3 linked regions of the Coturnix japonica genome follow. The protein of the gene in region 2 interacts with the protein of the main gene of each other region in a pairwise test. Links are inferred from orthologs where the notes say so. Each region holds a gene or a part of one and is shown on either strand. Other genes may lie near its edges. The genes, in order: SAV1, STK4 and RASSF5.

Region 1 (7,471 bases), on a different chromosome or scaffold from region 2:
TCTGCCCCACAAGTTCTGCTGCCACAAGGCCTGTGTCTGCTCAAACAAGAGCCAGAGAAGGCAGGAAGATGGGCTCAGGGAAATAGGAAGCCAGCACCTGATCACACAGAGAACTACTATGAGAAGCAGGCCAAAAAGCAAACCATATGTTGCTGGAAAGGCAGCTCTGCTTCTGTAGCAGCATCACCTCTGGCTGTATGGCTTCTCCCCAGAGTACACTGGGATTTCAAGCTCAGAACTGCCATTCACATGTAAGAAGTGCTCCGCTTACCACTCAAACAGGTACACAGAAACTCAGGTCTTGCTTACAAGTTAGTTCCAATCTATAATGTAGACAGAACTTCAACCACAGACCTCCCCAAACCTTTCACCTAGAAGAAAGGACAGAGATGGCGAGGGAAGATGGGTAAAGACTCTTAGAATACAGTTTGAAACCAACACTTAGAGAAATAAAATTAAATATATTGATATATATCAAGAAATGCCATAGAGGTAACCAAACAGCCCTGGGAAGCAGCTGAGGGCACTTCTGAGGAACAACACTCACACTAGTTAGTGATTAAAACAAATCTGATGGAGAAACAAATCAGAGAGAACATGACTTGAAGGAGGAACACCAATGCAATGCCACATTGTCACCTCTTGGAAAAAATCAAGATATTTGCTTGAATACTTTGCTGAACAATCTGAGTGTGAAGATGTCAATGAGGAGACATTGCGATGTACTTTGTGAAGAGCTCCATTCAGATGAAACGCTTACAAACAGGGATGGAAACACGTAGGGAAGGTGATCCAGACGAGGCAAGGGATCCAGAAGGCCTGACTCTGTGCTGGAGATAAGGAGGGAGGAACTGGCCATTAGAGGGACTGGTGTTGCTCAAGAGAAACAAGGCTGCAGAACAACGGGTGGCTGAAATCAGACTGAGCTTAACAGCGAGGGGAAAGAAATAAGGAGATATGAGGCTTTCTTATTCTTGACTACACCATATTCTACTGATACAAAGTGCCACGGACTCAGAGGACATGAGGACATACAGAGGACAGAGGGTAACATTCTTACTGCAGTGAAACTACAGGTGGAGCTTAAGAGTCCACATCCTGTGTTGAGATGAAAGGAAAAAAGAGAAGAAAACAAAGGATAACGTGTTGGCAGACAAGAGGTTCACCTCTGGATTATTTCCTGCATATAAGCAAGACTGAATGCCCATCCATTATGAAATATGTCAAATCTGCCCAAGCTATTGACTGCAAACATACACAGGTGACAAAGACCAAGCACACATCAGCAGCTCCTTGTTTTCCAAAGGCTAAGAATGCCTGGAGACAAACAGATCCGTGCTTAATGATGAGCAGCCAGCAGAGATGGAGGGGTTTTCACACAGTCTAAATAGAACTGATGTAATTAGGCAGCACTGAGCAAAGTTAAGGATGAAGCAGCAAGTCTTAAACATCAGCATCTCAATCTGCACTGCCTGGCAGCAGCGATGCCAGCACTGCTCTCCTGCCATGCTTCAATGGAACATCTCTGTATTAAAAACCAAACACCACCAGCAAAGCATTGTCAGCTTTTTAGCTCCACCCACAAGTTCAGTGCTGACAATTTTACCAGCAGATTGCAAATAACAATGAACTAACAGCATATTTCACTGCATTATTTAAAGGTCTGGAGTGCTGCTCTCAAACTCCTCCCTGAGCATCATTTCAGCAGTAGAAACACCACTCAAACACCGCCTGCAAGGTCACAGTTCTATGGGTAACACTGACATCTCACATTTCTTCTTTCAGTACATTGACAGCAGCATGACATACAAAAGACTCTTCTGTGTCATCACAGATAACCAAATACTTCAAAAACAAATACTGAAGGGATTTCTTTTCTGATTCTCTTGTTCCATAAGAAAAATGCAGCAGGTCCCTGAAAGTGTGTGATCATGACTCTTCCTCAATGACATGGAATGACCTGGGTTGGAAGGGACCACAAGGATCATGAAGCTCCAACCCCCCACCACAGGCAGAGTCACCAACCTCCACATTGATACCAGCCCAGGCTGCCCAGGGCCCCATCCAACCTGGCCTTGAACAGCTCCAGGGATGGACGGGGCATCCACAGCCTCTCTGGGCAGCTGTTCCAGCACCTCACCGCTCTCACAGTAAAGAACTTCCCCCTGACATCCAATCTAAATCTTCCCTCCTTCAACTCCAAACCATTTCCCCTTGTCCTGCTGTTATCTGCCCTTGTAAAGAGTTGTCTCCCCTCCTGTCTGTAGGCTCCCTTTAGGTCCTGGCAGGCTGCACTGAGGTCACCCCGCAGCCTTCTCTTCTCCATGCTGAACAAACCCAGCTCCTGTAGCCTGTCTTCACAATATTACAATATTATAAGCCAAAAAGAATTCAGACACTAGGAAGTGAATTTTAGCACTAACTACACATCAATTTGCTGATTACACAAAACAGTCATTACTCATTGTTTCACAATAAATAATTCATTATAAAATTAACAAAAATCAAATGACACAATGATATTCTGGGCTTGTTTAGCTTGGAGAAGAGAAGACTGAAAGGAGACCTCATAGTGGGCATCCAATACTTGAAGGGAGTGTATAAACAGGAGGGGGAACAACTGTGAGGGTGGGCAGTGACAGGACAAGGGGGAATGGTTTGAAACTGAGACAGGGGAGGTTCAGGTTGGATCTTAGGAGGAAGTTTTTCCCCCAGAGGGTGGTGACGCACTGGAACAGGTTGCCCAAGGAGGCTGTGGATGCCCCATCCCTGCAGGCATTCAAGGCCAGGCTGGATGTGGCTCTGGGCAGCCTGGGCTGCTGGTTGGTGACGCTGCACACAGCAGGGGTTGGAGCTGGATGAGCACTGTGGGCCTTTGCAACCCAGGCCATTCTGGGATCCTATGTACCTAAAGCTGTTCAGTGATATGTGAAGGGCACAATGAACCCATCCTCACCTGACATGCGCCTCCCATGGTTGTGAGCCATCCTCTGGAAAAGCTCCCCACCGTGCTCATAATACCTGCAGTCCTCATGCAAGCGATCATTCAATTGCCGTCTCCTCTGGGCATCATAGAAGTGATCATAATAGTAACAACGTGTGCCGGCATCTCCATTTTCCATAACCGAGTTGGTTTCTGTCAGAAAGGACTGTGAGGAAGAGCCGTATTCTCTAGCGACGTCAGCTAAACTTCGAGCAAAGTAGGAAGGTGCAGACAGTCTGTTGCTTTCACGCCTCATTATTTCATGGGGCGCCCTCTGCACCGGCGTCCGAAGGAAACTCTGGTTTCTGGAAACAGCTCCATCTCCAGCAGAGCCATAAGCAGAAGGACTCGGGTCGGGAGGGCAGATGTCAGTTCGTCTTGGAATGGTCGGACCGTGACGGATAAAGGAAGGCATCAGATCTGGTACAGCAGAGAAAGGAAATGAGAGCTTTGTACGCACTTATGGTATTTGGCGAGCCAAAGTGTCTGACTTACAGCATGGAAGTAACTCCATTCTGATGCCAGAGCCCCCTTAAAGCACCTCTCAGTGTAGCAGCGTAACAGTAGGGCTGCAGCAACAAAAGCCATCACACCCTCCATGTGCAACAGAAGCTATTGCCAAAGAAGCGCAGTTTAACAGCCAAAGAAGCCAACACAAACAGCTCCCACCCCTTATCAGTCAGGCTCTAAACCTCTCCGTTACACCAAGATCCAGCCCAAGCCCCGTGAATCCCGCCCTATCAACACCTCACCAGCTCAATCACACAATCAAAGCGCGGCCCGGCTTGGGAGGGAGCTCAAGGCTCACGGAGCCCCAACCCCCCCCGTTTATTACAGAGCCCCCCCAGGCCGCAGCGCGGTGTCTCCCCCCGCCCAGCCCCAGCCCTGAGCTCGGTGCGGGCCGGGCCGGGCGAGGGCGCAGCTGAGCGCCGGGCTGAGGGGGAACAACGCGGCCGTGTGGAGCCCACGGCACGGCACGGCACGGCACGGCACGGCACGGCACGGCACGGCACTCACTGCGGAGCAGCGGGCTGGTCTCCTTCTTCACGTACTTCCCCTGCACCTCGCCGGGCTTCGACAGCTCCGCCCGCGTTTTCTTCCTCGACAACATCCCACCTCCTCCTCCCGGCCCGCTCCCAACGCCCGCATACCCGGCTCCGCTCGGGCAGGGCCGGGCCGCCCTCGGGCTCACAGCGGGGCCGTGTGTGGGGCGGGCGGCGGGGCCGTTAGGCGCGGGGCGTTGTGGGGCGGCGGCCCCGCCTGGGGAGGAGACGAGACGGGAGGAACGACGGGGACAGAGCGTCGCGGTGGCGCGGTCACAGCGCCCTCTAGCGGAAGGAGTGTGGCGGTACAGCACTCTGCTTGGTTCGAGATTCATCACCCAGCCCTGCCATAAAGGATGGGAAACAACCAGCCACAAGCAGGGATCTGACAGTGATTTATTTCATTTCTTTACATTCATGATAAATAACACACAGCTTGGTCCCTCCTTCCCCTTCACGTGGTGGTGTAAGGTCAGCACATGACGACGCGCAGCAAAAACAAGCGTACCCAAAGACCAACTGTTTCCATTTATGCATTAGACAGGTCAGCAGTGCCAGCATCACACACAGCAGGAAGGCATGGAACACCTGAGGGCTGGTGATGCTGTTTGTGTTGTAATGGACAGAGCTGGGCTGTCCCCAGCTCCACCTCGCCTATTCATTGGCTAAAAGTATGTTACAACCCTTCCTTTTCCAGCCAGAACTGAACTAATTCAATTTGCTTTGTACCCAAAGTAGCAATGGGAATATAGGTAGCAAAGCATGCTTTTATACCATCCTAAATTGACATGTAGTACTTCAATGGTGTGAATTCAGCTCACGTCCATTTAACACGAGTGCGATTCCTCTGCCCCCTCCTGCTCCCCAGACTCCAGCCCTGGATACCCACATGCCTTTATTCTCACAGTGATTCATAAAATGAGAGTTGAAAGCATTGAAAACACCTTCTGGCCGTGCAGTTACTGATAGCCAAACAGGCGAGCCCTGCTGTACCAAGGAGGCCCAGAAATTCAGTGACTTACCACATCGCTAAATACTTTGGTATCTGAAAAATGCCTGTAGTGCATAGGAGACACATTCATGCACAAAAGACCACAAAATGCTTTGCACGTTTGCATGTTTCTATGCTTATTTTCAGTAGCCTTGACACTGTGGGATGAGCTGCTTATCCCTTGAGCTGACACAACAAGCAACACAACACTGGTTGGAGCACCGTGACCATTCCCCCCACCTGGGAAGGGTTTGTCCTGAATTGTCCTGCAGCAACAAAAGCGGTACAGCATAGAAATGACAAAAGGCACTTCTGAGAACTCATTCGCACAAGCATTCCAATGAGATTTGGGTTTTTTGTCTACTGTGTTTCTCCTCCATCATTCTCCAGTCCTTTCCTGTGGTTAGGATGGTGTTTGGAAGAAAGAAACGTGGATGAGACAGGATAGGGAGAGAAGAGGAACAGATAGAATCCCTTTTCTCTGCTTCTCCCCTGTATTCCAGTGCTAACATCAAGCTTGGCTCCCTTGTTTTTGTAGAATCACAGAACCATTCAGGTTGGAAAAGCCCTCCAGGACCCCCAAGCCCAACCCAGCCCACCCCACTGTGCCCACTGCCCACGTCCCTCAGTGCCACATCCCCACAGCAATGGAGCACCCCCAGGGATGGTGAGCCCAGCACTCCCTGGGCAATATATGGAGTGGTGTTAATATGTAGTAGCTAATAATGCATTTCCAAACACAGTTCTGATCATCTGAACCATAACTGTGGTGTTTCCAGGAAATATTTTCAAACTTTGCTCATTTCCTTCGTGTAAGCATGGTTCAAGGTGTGCTCAGTTACCACACTGCTAACACACAGCCCTGGTACCCACACACAGAGGTGTAACATGAAGCACTGGCACAGGCTGCCCAGAGAGGTGGTGCTGCCCCATCCCTGCAGACAACCAGGGTCAGGGGATGGGCTGTGAGCACGGATGGAGCTGTGGGTGTCCCTGTGCATTGCAGGGAGTGGGACCAGAGGGCCTTGAAGGGTCCCTTCCAACCCAAATGTTCTATGATTACAACTGTTACCACTTCCAGATTAATAATACAAAGAAGATGGATCTCTTGACTTCAAATTAGAAAACCAAGCTCCAACTCACATCAGTGAGATCTGTCAAAATGTTTTTGCAGCCTGTGAAAATCAGGATATGTAAATCTCTGAGATTACGCAGCCAAATAGCCTGTGTGGGCATTTACAACAGCAGAGCAGTGAAATCATTTAAAAGGAATTTTTTTGTTCCTCCAAGACATTCTGCCACTACGGTATGTCTGTTTCCATAAGGCAATGGAGGAGGAGAAGAGGAGGTCATACCCAGCAAGTGCAGCTCAGTCCTGCAGCCCTCTGAGTGGCAGGTAACCCTGTAGACAAAGGTAACATCCCTTACAGCCACACTGCTGAGTGAAAGTCACCTTCCATAGGTTACCCTAGAGCTCCCCTCTTCCCTTCCTGCATCCACGATCCATGCATATTTAAAGAGGTCCAGTTTCAAGTACTGCCAGTATGGCCCCTTTCAGTGGTATTGTATACATTAAGTACACCTTACTGGTCTGATGGAGGCCAGCATTTGTAGGGGGAGCTAGCATCACATCTAGACTGTAGTAATAATTGGTTATAACAAGCTCCAAAGCATCTGAGTCCTCATTCAGCGACTTCTGTTGGGCCCTGAAAGCGTTCCCAAAAAGCCTGTGTTCCCCATGAACTCATCAGATAGGAGATGTAATTACCACCTGTCATTACAAAGCTGCGTGCCCTTCAGCCTTCCTGACTACAGCACCACTGCAGGCTGCTCGGGGAGTATGAAGGCAATATGCAACCAAAGGTGATTCTGTCTGTCCTGTTCTCCCTAATGCACGCTAACCTCCATCTACTGATATTAACGCCCACATTTATTAAACTGAAGGAAACTAACACTTAATTCCCTGAGTTCTTTGTATTCAACATGTAGTGTTTCCTCACAATTAACTACAAACTTAGTTTCTGTACTCAGACCCACCACAAAGGACACGTCCTTCCAAATCACCACGTAAACGGAGCACTGCGTTAGTGACAAAGGGCTGGGAGGTCTGATTATAGAGTCATGGAATGGCCTGGGTTGCAAAGGCCCACAGTGCTCATCCAGCTCCAACCTCCTGCTGTGTGCAGGGTCACCAACCAGCAGCCCAGGCTGCCCAGAGCCACACCACTAAGTTCCCCTCTTCCCTCCCTGCCAGTTGAACAGTAGGTGTACTCCACCACTATACTGAATGTACAACTCCCAGGAACTCATTGCTTCCCTTCTGTTTGGTGACTCTTCTATTATTTAGTATAACAAAAAAAAAAAAAAAAAAAAAGGGTAAGTCCTCTACAATTTCTTAACTAAAAAAGAGCAGTAGTCTTTATTTGCCATCTGGGACGTCTCTCCAGATAACAT
Region 2 (6,217 bases):
TCTCTGGGTTTCAGAAGAAAAGATCAGGGTTTGTCCAGAACGCTTTCAGCAATGCAGATGGGCCCAAGGAGCACTTGAATGCAGCTTCAAAATTAAGCAAGTGTTTTGCTTAAAAACCCCGTCAGAACAGCTCTCCTTGAGGGTGTGAGCCTTGGTCTTAGTCTGTAGGACTCTGAGAACCGAGAGGGTACGATGCTCTACAAGGGGATCAAAAAGGGAATTACTTTCTCTCTACTCGATAATCAGAGAAGGAGAAAATAATTCGAGCTCCAAGTGCAAGAAATACCATCAAGTCTCGGCCATCGCAAGCTTGTAAGAAAGGTTCAAAGGCAGTCGGAGCAGTTTCACTTATTTTGGTTCATTTGCTGTGTTTTAAGACAATCACACCAGCAAAGCAGAGCATCTCAATGGCGCTTACATTCAGTTACAGCAGTCACAGGTTGCATATTCCAAAAGCACACACCACGATGTGGTGCTTCACTTAAAACTTGGGTTTTCTAATGCCCTACGATGACCAGAAAGTTACCTACACAGTGCAGAGGTAAAACTACTCCCAGCAGGATCTGCCTGACCGGTGTTACACACCAGCAGTGCATGGTTTGCCACATCCCACATCCCTGTGTCCCACCAGAGGTACAAAGCAGGCTTGGCAGAACAGTGCTGCTCACACTGCTGGTCACAGTGGGACAAACCGACGCAGACAGATCTGCAGAGGGGTACAAATGGCTTGATTCCTTTCACAGCAATGGAGTATATCTGTTAACAGTAGTCAGCAGTCTGCTGCAAGCAGGGAACAAGAGCCTCTCGAGGCATGGAATGAGCAGCATTTGAGTCAGGAGACAGTGCTGTTTAGTTGAATTACCTGTGGGATGTACCAAGGCCTGTTTCAGAGGATGACATGGAAACTCTTCTCTCCATCAGAGCAAAACAAAAATAAATTGGTAAGAACACATGGTTCTATTCAAATATTTCACCATAAAGCCATGCAGAGGCATTACTCGCTCTGTGCCCGGATTGGGGCTCACCTCACACTGCTCCTCAGCTCCACCACTGGGAGCGAACTGCATCATCCTCAGTGATTGTACATGCAGGGCATCTTCAGCCACCGACCCACGTTAGGAAATTGAATGAGAAAGGAGGGACTGGAAGAGAACAAATCTCTTCCCAGACACCGGCCATTGGGACATCAGCCATTGGCCTCTATGGATCAGCTCTGCCTCCACTCCATCTGACAACACACATCTCTGATACCCCAACAAATGTTTGCTTTCAGTTTAACTTTTTGACGTGCTAAGCCTGGCAGAAAGGTGAAGGATTGTGAAGGTTTTATTCCAGCACCTAAAGAGGTCAATTTGAAATGATGGAGCGTATGAAATATGTCACAAACTGCACAGCCCTTTCAGTGCTCTCAGACGCAGCACAAGTACCAAATTCTGAGGGAGGTTCACCTGACTTCCACCCATTCACACACTGTGCCCTCCCAGCACTCTGCTGTCAGCAGGAGGACATTTTCAAAGGGACAGATGAAGGGGAACCTGCTCTGTTTCAGGTCCGACCACCGATTGGCTTTCGGCCTTAAGTCAATGTGGGTTTTACATTACAGAACGTAACTTCTGGAGGCACAACACACTTCACCTACTGGTATTAATTCCTAACGTACATAAGCAAAGAACAAAACCAAGGTCTTGAAGAAATCCCACTCACGCAAAGCACAAAGTGTAAGGCATGGGGCTTATTACAGGCTGTTTAAAAATGAGATTTAAGTGTCTTCCAAAATGCTGGGCCAGTTTGCAGGTGTTCTCATCTACTCTCTTCAGCGACCTAAAACTTATCAGTACCTTAACAGCAGAACCATACAGTCATCAGCTTGAAACAGTCTGTGCATTCACAAAGGACAACAGAAACAACAAAAAATAAACCACAACAGATGCAGCCGTTAAATACACAATTCATATTAACTTAAGGGAAACAGAGTATGGAAAGGTTCATATGAAAGGAGAGTGAGCCATCTTCCATCGGTTTATTTCTATCCGCTCATCTGATTTAAAAATAATCCATCTAAAAACAGTAACAAAACTCCTTCGGATACTGCTTTAAATATGTGCCTAAATTAAAACACACCACGAGGATTCTCCATTCAATGGCATTCCTGAGTTCACAAAGGTGCTATGGAAAAATAAATGAGCAGAAGTATTGCCCTCTATTTTGCTAGCGTATTTCAATAGAAATCAACCTGTTTAGTAGTCATAGAAGCAAGGAGCTGATTGCTGGAGGCTGGAAGGACATTCTACCCGTGGCTCAGAAGTTCTGCTGCCGCCGCTTCTTGGCTTCGATGGCATCGAGGATGGGCTGCCGCTTGGACTGATACTTCTGACGGATCTCCTCAATCTCCTGCTCCATCATGGGGTCCAGCGCTGACAGCCTCCTCTGCAGCTCATCCACACTCCACGTCTTCAGCTGCCAGGGAGAGGAAACAAAAGATATGGGCATCAGAAGTGAAAGCGCACACAACTGCAGGTACCTCTGTACACACAGGTTGAACATCAGAGCTTAGTGGTCCTCTCCAGCCTTAATGACTTTATGATTAATATGAAAAAAACCTGGAAGTATATTACCTGTGCAGGTAGGTGATGCAGAACCAGGCTGCTGCTCATGGGTTAAGCAGAAGGGAGGTGTTTGGGAGGGAGGAGAGGGAAGTCAATGCACTGACAGTGCTCACACAGAGCAGGGGAAGGGGAGCAAGGCTGCCTGGCCCCAATCCCACATGTCATCTTCTCACTTGCACATGCATCTTTGAATGGAAAAACAGGAGTGCTTAGAACCTGACAGTCTCCATTTCACTTTGCTGCATGGCCTTGCCCTATAAACCAGCCCCACAGACACATTTTCTCCTGGAAATGAAGTTTTTAAAGGCTGGCACATCTGTCTCCATAGGGTTAGGCTTCAGGGATAGCAACATCATTCTCTTAATGAAGCGCCAGGAGCAAAGTAAGAAGAGGACAAGGACAGAGCATCCCATGATGCTCAGGGCGAAGTCTCAGCGCTGATAAGCTGCAATTAGAGCTGGGCTCAGCCCTGGGGCTCAGCCCCATCCCCTCCTCACTCCTCAGCGATTCTTCTCTGGTAAAGAGCCCAAATGCCTTTGTCAGAGCTATCTATTTTCATCCGCCGTGATCAAACAGCTATGACAACCTTTTAAAGAAAGGAACTGCATTTCAAATGTAAAGGCTGATATCAAACACTTGTTCTAAGGCTGGTGTCTTACAATGAAATGTATCTTGCAACAAGGAGAAGGGGTAGAGCAGGGAAATGTTCAAGCAAGGTCCCATGTGCACCAAGCTAACTTTTAACTATTTGAATAACAGCTTTCTTCCTATGCAAGGTTGTGAGGCACCATTTCTTCCTCCAAGTAACAGATCCACAAGCTGACATCCCTCTGCAAGCAGTTCAGACACTGATAACAAATTCACTGCACAGTGCTCACCTCAGCAAACTGCCTCCCCGAGTCACCATCCTTTCAAATCAGCATATAAAGAAAATATATCATAAAAAAAGTCACTCCTAACATTTGTTACAGTTCAGGCAAGTGTGGCTGCAACACAATATTCTGAATGCAACTGAATGTGAGCAAAAGGGGAACATTTTGATCTCTGCAGGAATGTCAGACCCTTTTCCTGCAGCAGGGACAGCAGCACGGTCAGTTTGGGGCCCAGCATAGCAGTCCGCTGCCTCGAGCCAGCCCAAACCACTGCCATAAATACAGTGCTGCCCAGCATCCCACCTCAGCTCCCATTCCTAGTGCTCCTCTTGCAAAAAAGACTGCCAAGAACGTCCATTTGCTGCATGAATTATAAGCATCAGACAGAAAGGAGCCATTTCCCAGCAGCTGTAACACTCTTCCCTCCCAGTGTAACATTCCAACGGAGAACAAACTCCTGCCACCTCTCCACTGGGGTCACAGGAACCCCAAGCACTGCCCTCCTGCAGCTTTTCCCTTTCCCTTGTTGATGCTGCATCTGATCCAGAGATTTAATGCAAAGCCTTTTCTTTGCATCTCCCCCACTGTGCACAACACATCGGCTTTGTTTTCCAACACTCTCTTAAAATTCCTGAAGCTGATGCCCAATGTGAACCCATCCATCACCAGAGAGGGGCTGCAGTTATCCTATCACCTCACAGATCTGCAGACGGATGCTGCCTTCTGGAGCACAAGCAGAATATAAATGCCATAAGTGAGATGGGGTTATTTCCTCACGGTGAAAACATCTGAGCAGCCCTGCAGAATTACCACCAGCAGCTGTGGGCTGTTTAGGAAGCGAACACCAGCTACCAGCCTGCCTTCAACCCCAACGTTCCAGGTGGCACCCACTGCTCAGCATAACTTGATGTCGACTTCCAAGTTTTAAATAGACCTTTGAAAAAGTGGCTTGAGCGTTTCTCACTTCATAAGGGGCAGTGGGAGTTTGAAGACTGAAATACAGAAATAATGAAACTGCAGCTTCCCACGCCACACAGGGAAAAGACATCAGCTAGATGGGAACTAAAGAAAAAACATAATTCTCGCTCGAGCATAGCTTTTGTTGTTCCCCCTCCCCTTTCTGCCTGGTTTTACACCGCTGTTTAACAATTCTTGACTGCACACCCAGAGATCAAAGCCCCTAAACAAACTCAAAGCAAGGAGCACAATGCTCTGCATGCAGGCAGGAAATGCTGAGCATGGCTTCAGAAGGCTGCCCATCCAAAAGAAGTTCTCCAAGCCATGCTAAATAGCCCATGCCATAAAGGAGTTTGCTGCTATAGATGATGAAAAACCACCACTACTGATATAACAAACCTCAGAATTAGTATAAACTTTCAGATTAAAATGAGTTTGATAGAAGCAGCATATGCACATGCACATGCAGACATTGTGGAACCTGCTGAGATCACGGGGTATCTAAGGATGTTTGCCAGCTCCTGGGTGCCACAGGCATTACGTGTCAGCAGGGTTCTGATTTGCAGAGGAATATGGAAGTCGAGGCTATATATAAAGGACCAGACACTCCAAAATCAGACAAGGCACTTAGGAACAGCAGCCACCTGGATAACACCAAACCACCTGAGAGCTGCTCCAACTACGTGGTAATGAAATCATTAGGGACAAAGAGCAGGAAGGAACAAGGCACAGCAACAGCCAGGCTAAAGGAACAACAGCAGCAATGCTATCAGGACATTTCCCTTCCAATAAATCCTAGGGCAATGCTTACGCTTTGCAGTCAGGATCCGGCAACTCCATCTGACGCACATCCACCTCAACTTCCCAACTCTTCTTTTATCACCTCCTCAAGTAGAGTTTCATTTTTGGGCAGCAGACACTCATTGGGTGCTACATGCAGCTATTTGTGGCAGCACCTCGGAGCACAGCGCTGCGTGTGAGAGCAGCCCAGGAGCTGGGGAGAGCTGTCAGAGATCACAGCCCATGGACACGAGCTCTGAGAGCTGTAAGAACTCGGGTTATTCTGGAATTAGCCTTCTACAACCTGAAAGGCTGTTTAAGTGCAGTATCAATTAAACGCTCATACCAAATACACCCAGAGGAAACAGATCACTGCACAGTACTATGCACCTTTTCTTTTTTTTTAAGACAGCAAAAAAAGCATTCAATTTCTCAGGCCAAAATGAAATGAAGAGGGTGATTTCTCATGCTAAGCAGTGCTCTGGAGTCTAGGTCCTGAAAATGCTGATATAAATTGGTGTTGGAATAGCATGCCATTTTCCCTTAGCGTTTTTCCTGAAATGCTGGCTCAGTCCCATTTGGCATCCTTTCAATCACTGATCTAAAAATTAAGTGCCTTGTTCTCATTTATGTTCCCAGCGTTAGAAGGCCTTGATGGAACGTACGAGCAGGCATTAACCAGTTATTCACCGTAACCTTGTGTCCAATGCAAGGGACATGGGGACCTTAAGAACCTGCAGGCACTCCTGCCCACTTCTCATCCTGATTATCAGGTCCCCACAACCTCACACATCTGTAGCCTGCAGCCATGCCACAGACAGGCTTCAGTAAATCACAACCCCAGCCCCAACACAAACATTAACTACCTCGATTCCCCCCCTCCCTTTTTAGCATGAGAAGTTTCATATTGTTATGAAAGCAGAGGATGAAATGCACTCACGGTGGGATTTCATGCAAGATTAAAAATACAGATATTAATCTTTCAAAGGATTTGAAAAATAA
Region 3 (7,797 bases), on a different chromosome or scaffold from region 2:
TGCAGGGGGCAGTGAAGGTCCATCTGCTCTGCAGATGCTTTGGGAGCTGTGTAGGTACAAGCCAAGGAAATGCTGCCCAGCTCCTTGACCCCGTTTGCAGCAACCCCCTCACTGCAGGGGGATGGAAACTCATGCTCCACAACTCAGCCTGACACAGACCCCAGCTCGGGGCTGCTCCCATCCGCCAGTGTAGATAAGGAGGCTCCAGGCTGCTTTCTAGTTATGCTCAAGCCGCAAATATTTAGAAGCTTTGCAGACAGGGAATGCATTTTTCTTCTCCTCTGCAGCGCTGGGTCATAATTAGAAGAGAAATAGGCTTAAATCAAGCGTGCAGGGCATGAGCAGAACCAAGTGCTGTGTCAGGTGCAGAGCTGGGTCAGCTGGAGATCACCTTTGGTGACATCAAGGCTGAAAATATGATTCAAATCCTTTGTTCTTGTAGGAAATCCCACATCAAGGTGCTGTAGCCCCAGGGTTGAGCCAGGCAGAGGCTGTGCTGGCTGCACTGCACCCAGGGAGAGCAATCTGGGACCTAAACACAACACACTTAAGTACTTTGCTGGATCAAGGCCCATATTATTAATGCTTGGTATGAAGTGCCAACAGGACTTTACTAACTTTCTCCGATGCTCCTGCTTTGCTTACATTTGATAATACTATTTACTGGCTGCCAACTACACCAGCCACGGCATTTCCCACCCTTCCAGTGTGCTGTTCTCCATTTCCCCAGTGTATTCTGGCACCTATTCCCTTTTCAGATGATGGGCACAGAAGCAAGATGCACAGGGAATTTATTAGCAAGCATCAATTAGGGCCACGGGCCGACCTCTGCAATGAAATCTCACCCTGCTAAGAGCAAAGAAATGGGCTTTGGGAAAGAGGCTGACCACCATGAGGGCATACCTGGCTGCAGGGGAGCACAATGGTGCCCACAGGAGAGAGCTGCCCGGGGTCAGGCCGGCGGCAGTCCAGCTGGACGAGGCTGCAGCATTGCTGATGGCACGTGTACCTGCAATCTGGGAGAGAACAGAGCCGTGCTGTGATGGGAGAGCAGCCAGAAGCCCCATGTCCTCCCCATTGCGCTCTACCAACACCCATGGGTGCTGTCTGCAGCCACATCCAGCCCCTCTGAGTGCTCCCCCCACTCCAACAGCCCTTTTAATTTTTAACAGCCCCACAAACAGCATTCAATCAATTATTTCTTACACAACCCACAATTCCAGTGCAGTCATTGACCTGTTGGCCACCCAGCACCCACTCCTCCCCAAAACCAACACCCTCAGCATTGCAGAGGCCCCCTCTACAAGAAAACCTGCCTTTCCCTCTATTATTTTTGGGCACTTGGGTCATTGCTTTTGAACCCCTTGGACTTGCAGAAAGCAAAGTGACATCCCATAGAATCAGATCTCTGCCCCTATCAAGGAATTCCCAAGCAGGAGCAGAGCATTCACGCAGTGCCTGAGTATCTCCCTCAGAGGAACCATTGATTGCTTAGCATTCAATTGACACCAGCTGCCATCCTACCATTTCCAGCTGGTTGTCTCAAGGCTGGGAGGCAAGCAAGGGGGTCTTCTGATTGATTTTTTTCCCCCCTCTTAATTTTAATGAGGGATAAGCCAAGCAGTTGCATGGTAATGCAATGCATGACCTTTCAAACAGCTGGAGCAGCTGCTCAGTGGGACATTTGCCAGCTCTATGCTGCAAGGTGCCAAGCACAGCAGGCTGTGATTGCAGCCCCACCTGAGCAACCAACACAGCAGCCCCCAAAGGCATCACATTCAGATGTCCCCATGCACGGCATGTAGGATGGGAATGATGGAGCACCCACAATGGGGAGCAGTCTGTAGTGTGAAATACAGACCACAAATCACTGAGTCCACCCCCATCACAGCCAGGCATTTCCCCCTTAGGATTACAGCATGACACCTCCTTAGTCACCGCCGCCTATTAGCAGCCCTAATCACCACTATCTGGTGGGCAGCACTAATTTTAGAAGCCCAGCACAGCCCTGGGAAGCAGCCACGTGATGGGGCAGGATGCCTCCATTGCGGCCGTGAGATCATTTCTATTCGAGTCAAACAAAGCCACCGCTGGAAACAGCTTCTTTAAGTAAAGAAAACCCTCGAGTCTGATCACAACATAGCAAGAAACTTTAGTAGCTGAAAGGAACTTCCCTCTGCATGCAGATAAAGCTTATCAGAGTGATAACATTGGATGTGCAACTGAACCCCATCTGGGTGCTCATCCATCTGCCTAAGCGCAGCTTGCAGTCACCCTGCCCAGCCCTGTGTGCCATTGGCATCCTTTGATATAATGCTCTTCAAAGCTGTCCAGCTTCATAGGGTAACCCCAGCCATTGCACCAAGCTGGGACAGGAGCACAAAGCAGCCACTGGGTGGGTGATGCTCTAAAGCCATTGCTTCTTAATGGAGCAGCTTCCCTGCTGAGGCATGAAGCACTTCCAGCTGTGCTCTATGGAACCCCATTACCCCCCTTCATTAACAACAGCAACCAACAGACACCCAAACACAGCCCCTACCTCTCAGCAATGAGCCCTCCCTGCTCAGCCTCTGCGGTCCCTCGGAGCAAGACTTGGACTTGAAAAAGTGCCTGAATACTTTGCGGATTCTCTTTGCAATGAACCCAAAGCAAACAGCAGCCTCTGCTCTGCCCTCCGACATCCTCAGCAGGGGGACCAACACTCCCAAGGCAGCACAGCACTGCGCAGAGCAGCGCCTGCCTCCACAGCCTTATCCCATGGAGATAAAGCATTGACATGAGCCATCGGTGAATCTATTTGACGGATACATTTATTTATATATTTAGAGCACAGTGGAGCCCATTGCACAGCTCGGGGCTTAACACACCTCAGGGCTCGTCCTGTTCACCATGGAAAAGTTTCTATTTCGGGGGCTTTTTCTTTTTCTTACTTGATAAGATAAAAAGACCCAACGGAAGAGATTAGAAGGGAGAGCAGGAGCTGGCTGAGCTGGGAGGTCCCTTTCTAACATCCCCACTTCACTGCTGTTCCCTTGTGGTTGTCTAAAGCCTCCAATATTGAATGAAACATTAAAGAAATACACTGAGATCAGCAATGTGAGCAATACTGACATGAGCCCTGCCAGGTTTTTGGATCAGTGCTGCAGTTTTCCTGTAGCATCCATCCTTTCTAGCCACGTGAGGTGCTGGATGATGCTCGTATCCATCCCATCACCCAACAAAGGGCTTTAAAACCTCCCCATTCTGTATCACAGCCATCCCCTCACCCATGGGGCAGGTTTCCAGCATCCCACACAACACACTCTACCCATTTCATCCATTAATTTGCAGAGATAAAAGCTCACTAAATCCAAACATCACACCAAGCAGCACAGGATAATACAAAGTAATTCCTTCCTCACCCCTCAGCATCCCCCAACCCTGCAGCTCACACACATCCCTTCTTCCCAACCCAGACCACCAAGCCCAGCTACAGGACCAGGAAAGGAAGAAACAACCCAAACCTCACCTGGTGAACCAAAGCCTCCATTGGTGTCTTCCTCCATAAGCACAGGATGGGAAGGCAGCAGCAAAGGGTGACCCAAGGACCTGAGCCCCCCCCAGAATAGCAGCCTGCCAATGCTGAGTCCCCCAGTGAGCAATACCTGCTGTGCCCTGCCCCATAGACCTGATCCCTGTGCCCTGCCCTGCACCTTCCCCACCACCCTCATCCTCTGCTGCTGGGAGAACAAGAATCTGCCCAAACCAGACTAAGGAAGCCCCAAAACTGTGGCTCCTGGTGGCAATTATTGTTTACAGTGATGAGAGCAGAAATGGGAGGGACACGCAGGGAGGAGACATGGGAAAACCTCACACTTAAAGTGCTGCAGGTGTGGGCAGAGACCCCATCCCAGAGCCCAGCTGGGAGCATCCACACCTGCTACTGAGCACTGATAATTAAACAGCCACTCCAGAACCTGTAATGGCAGAGCTGCAGTTTACAAGCTAGAAAGCAAAGTGCTGTGTGTTGTGCCAGCTTTCTTCTCAATGAAATGGGTCCTGATCCAACAGTGCTGGAACACAGACTGAGCTGTGCCATTGTCCTGCAAGGAAACCTCATTGAGTGCTGGTGGGGTGACATGATGTCCTGGGGAGGGATCGGGTCTATGGGACAAACCCATGCAGGGCACACCCAGCTCACCCCATAGGGCAGTTTGATAAGCACAGCCCAGGAAATACAAGGGCTGTAAGTCATGCCCTGAGCTGCCAGGATGAGAGAGGACCTAAGGCTGGAAAATGCCTGAGGGAAAAGCCCAGCCCATAATGCAGGGGATAAGGGGAAGGAGCAGGAGTTTCTGCTTCCAGAACCACCCCCGACCCCGGATATCCCTGCTTAGAACCCAAATAAATCTCAGCACAGACTTGGAAGCTGCGTTGTCACCTTCACATTCCAACATCTACGTTCCGCCCCACCTGAACAAACAGCAAGAAAAAAACCCCAACAGAAACGGATGTGCTGCAGGAGGAGGGGGAGGGCGATGGGTGCTGATGTTCTAAGAGTCCCACTGAAGTTTCTCTCCCTCCCCCCAGCGATAACACGTCGTTGTTTGGGGAATTTTAGAGGCTGATCTATTCCCACAGCCTGACAGCTCTCAGAAGAAACGAAAAGGGAAGCAAGCACTGCAGGCTTCTTTCAATATCACTCGTAAAAGAGCCCTGGGAAAGAAATCCCTCAAAACACCCCTTTTATAGCACTCACAGCATCACAAAGTGCTGCCAATTAACGTGTCAGATCGGGATGCTCCCTCAGTTACCTGAAAACATCAGCTGGGCACAGGGCTGGGGCAGGAGGAGCGCCGCCCCCAGGCACTGCTCATAGTCTATAGGATGTAAAGCCCTTTCCCCATTCAGAAGATATGGAATAACAAGGCAACAGGTTCGACTTCTGCTGCCTGTAACTCACTGCTTGGTCCTTATGCCACCCCTCACACAGTGATGCACATGGGCTGCGTCTGACCCAGGACACCCCATTCACTCCCACCCCCTCTTCCCAACCCCTTAAACACGATGGGAACGCCAACCCTTCCTGCAGAACTAAATCTTAATGCACCCGATGGGAGCACAGCGAGTCTTCCTAGAGAGCTCCCACTGCTCACTGCCCAAAGAACCTAAAGGAGATATTCCCAACGTGCTATTCCTGGAAGGATTTAGCTCCACCGTAAGGCGGCACAACCACGAGCCATTCCGCCCCGATGAGCCGATAATCCCATCTTCCCCGGAGGAAAAAAAAACCCCAAGTCCCGCATCCCCCGCACGGATCCGCACCCCACGGGGGACAGCTCTGCGGGGGGACACGGGGCTGGGGGTGAGGGGGGCATGGAGTTGGTGGGGAGTAGGGCAGGGTGATGGATGCGGTGCGGGATGGAACTGCGGGACGGCAGCAGCACTCACATTCGCAGCGCAGGGCACGATCCCGCACGGCAGCTCCGCACAGATCGCACCAACCGCAGCGAGGGACGCGGGGGACGAAGCGGTGACCGTGACCGTGACCGTGACCGTGACCGTGGGCTCGTTCCGCCGCTTCTCGAGGAGCCGAGAAGATGTTGCGCACGTCGGGCAAAAGCCGAGGGGACCCTCCGCGCCTCCGCAGCCGTCGAGCTGCCCTGACACCGCCGGGGCTCCCCGGGCAGGGGGGAGCGGGGCCGGGTGGACCCCGCCGCATGGAGCCAGGCGAGGGGCTCGGCCCCACGGGTGGGCACGGCACGGCACCGCACGGCACGGCACGCCGCTCTGCGGGCTCCGGGCTGGCGGTGTGGCCGGGAGGAGCGGGGCAGGGCGGGTGCATTGGGCCGCCCCGGGGAGGAGACACTGATATAGGGGGGGGTGGTGCGGGGAGCGGCCCCGCGTGGGATCTTCTCGTGGTGACCCTCCCGGAGCAGCGGTTCCTCCCATAGGATCCATCGCAGTCGTAAACCCCCCCCCCCCCCCCTCTCTTTCTTCCCCCCTTCTCCACCCCCCTTTAGGATTTCCCCATGGAATCCCAACCCACACTGTTGTGTAACCGCTCCCCACGGGACGCTCCTCCTCTCGGGACCGGGGACGTTGCACGCATACATCACCCTAATCCCGGCTGTGCAAATGGGGTGAGCAGCGTGCAGCATAAAGCTGTTCCCAGTGGACACTGCAGGAGCGCAGAAGCACCCCATCCCATCCCATCCCCATCCCCATCCCATCCCCATCCCCATCCCATCCCCTTCTATCCCATCCCATCCCATCCCATCCCCTTCTATCCCATCCCATCCCCATCCCCATCCCAGGTTTTGCCCCTACAGAATCAGGGCGATCACCTCTCAGGTGCTGCTTTATACACTGAGCTGAAGACACAGACCCTCCTGCACAGAGCATGGACCAGGCTGCACAGACAGCTGGAACAAATTACCTTTTCCCCTCTGAAATGACAGCAGGGCACCGGAGTGATGCTGAGGGCTGAGAGCCCAAGCAATTAAACTCTCCCAGATGAGGCTTTTGTGGTTGTGGGAGAAGTGAAAGGGAAAATATGATGGGCAGATTCTGGAGTCTCTCTCTTCTGTACAGGTTCCAGCACTGCAGCTCTGAGGACGCCCATTTGCAATGCTTTTGGGGTGCAGAGATGAGGGTGTTTGGATCAGGTGCTGCTCTGAAGGCCTGATGACAAAGAGACAAAGCGAGTTTCTGAGGATGGGATGAGCCAAAGATGCTTAAATCCCTTTGAAATAATTTAAATTGAAGGATGGATCTGGCTCTGAGTTACAAAAGACGATTGCAATAGGCAACCCCTAATAAGAGCCTAAAATGAAAGGAGCAATAATACAGCTTGAAAAATCCCATTTTTGTTTGTTAAGTAACATGACTCATATTGGAAGGTCTTTTTTTTCCCCATTCAGGATCCTGATTCACTTTCATGCATCCTCTACTTCTGCATGAGACCAGCAGCAGATTTGTCCTTGGGTAAATGGTTTTCCCCATAGAGGGATGTTTTATCTGTTCTCCTTCCAGACTGGGAGATAGAGCAGATTCACTGCCATTCTCTGCTTCCTCAGCAGGTTTTCAGCTAATGCAGGAAAACAGGAGCAGGGTTGAGAATTCGGGGGGGGGAAAAACTAAATCCTGATGAACACAGGCAAGAAAATCCCTATTTCATTTAGATTCTGGGAGTCCTCTTTGCAGCTGCTGCATTATGGCAGCTGAAGGGCTATTAGCAGCTCTTCCTTTTGGTGCACGCCAAGAAATAAATCCTTCCTTTTGAAGCCAACCACGTTCCAGGTCAAACACTCACATGGTCCACATCAGCACAGCTCCAATGGACCTGGGTTCAGTGAAATGCTGGTTGTGAAGCTGGGAGAACCCTAGGAAATAATTTGCAGGAGAGAAGCTTTTAAGAGGTGGCTTTGCTCCACTGCTTCCACAGCAAGCGGTTGGGTTTGGCAGTCGGGATGTTGGTTTTTACAATTAAAATGAATGGGAATATACAGATTTGGTGCCAAATACCACTAAGAAAGTGGTTTCCTGTACAGGGGCAGCTCCTGACTCTCCTGTTCCTACATGAAAATGAAGCCAGGACAGACTGGAGCCACTGCTCCCTGCTCCCCCTGTGTCCATGCTGAGAGCCAGGCAGCAAGATCTGCATCACATCCCTCCCTATAGGCATATAGGGGAATGAGGGAATATTCCCCATTGTCAATGCAAGGAGCAGCACTGGGTGCTACTCTCCCTCTGTGCATCATCCCAATCCTGGGCTGGGGACAACCTGGAGTTCCTAGAGCTGAGCAGCCCTGTGAG

What was found.
Region 1: the proteins of STK4 (region 2) and SAV1 interact in binary tests that used the Homo sapiens proteins (3 or more experiments, as listed by UniProt). The link is inferred for Coturnix japonica from reciprocal best matches to the Homo sapiens genes STK4 and SAV1.
Region 3: the proteins of STK4 (region 2) and RASSF5 interact in binary tests that used the Homo sapiens proteins (3 or more experiments, as listed by UniProt). The link is inferred for Coturnix japonica from reciprocal best matches to the Homo sapiens genes STK4 and RASSF5.

The regions. Positions count from the first base shown.
Region 1 is NC_029520.1:52,523,515-52,530,985, forward strand, and holds the start of SAV1 (protein salvador homolog 1), read right to left. Parts: upstream 4,238-7,471; 5' UTR 4,095-4,237; coding exon 4,001-4,094; intron 3,404-4,000; coding exon 2,957-3,403; intron 1-2,956. UniProt on the Homo sapiens protein: Regulator of STK3/MST2 and STK4/MST1 in the Hippo signaling pathway which plays a pivotal role in organ size control and tumor suppression by restricting proliferation and promoting apoptosis.
Region 2 is NC_029535.1:4,550,170-4,556,386, forward strand, and holds part of STK4 (serine/threonine-protein kinase 4), read right to left. Parts: intron 2,458-6,217; coding exon 2,299-2,457; 3' UTR 1-2,298. UniProt on the Homo sapiens protein: Stress-activated, pro-apoptotic kinase which, following caspase-cleavage, enters the nucleus and induces chromatin condensation followed by internucleosomal DNA fragmentation.
Region 3 is NC_029541.1:2,733,784-2,741,580, reverse strand, and holds the start of RASSF5 (ras association domain-containing protein 5), read right to left. Parts: upstream 5,860-7,797; 5' UTR 5,825-5,859; coding exon 5,431-5,824; intron 1,017-5,430; coding exon 904-1,016; intron 1-903. UniProt on the Homo sapiens protein: Potential tumor suppressor. Seems to be involved in lymphocyte adhesion by linking RAP1A activation upon T-cell receptor or chemokine stimulation to integrin activation.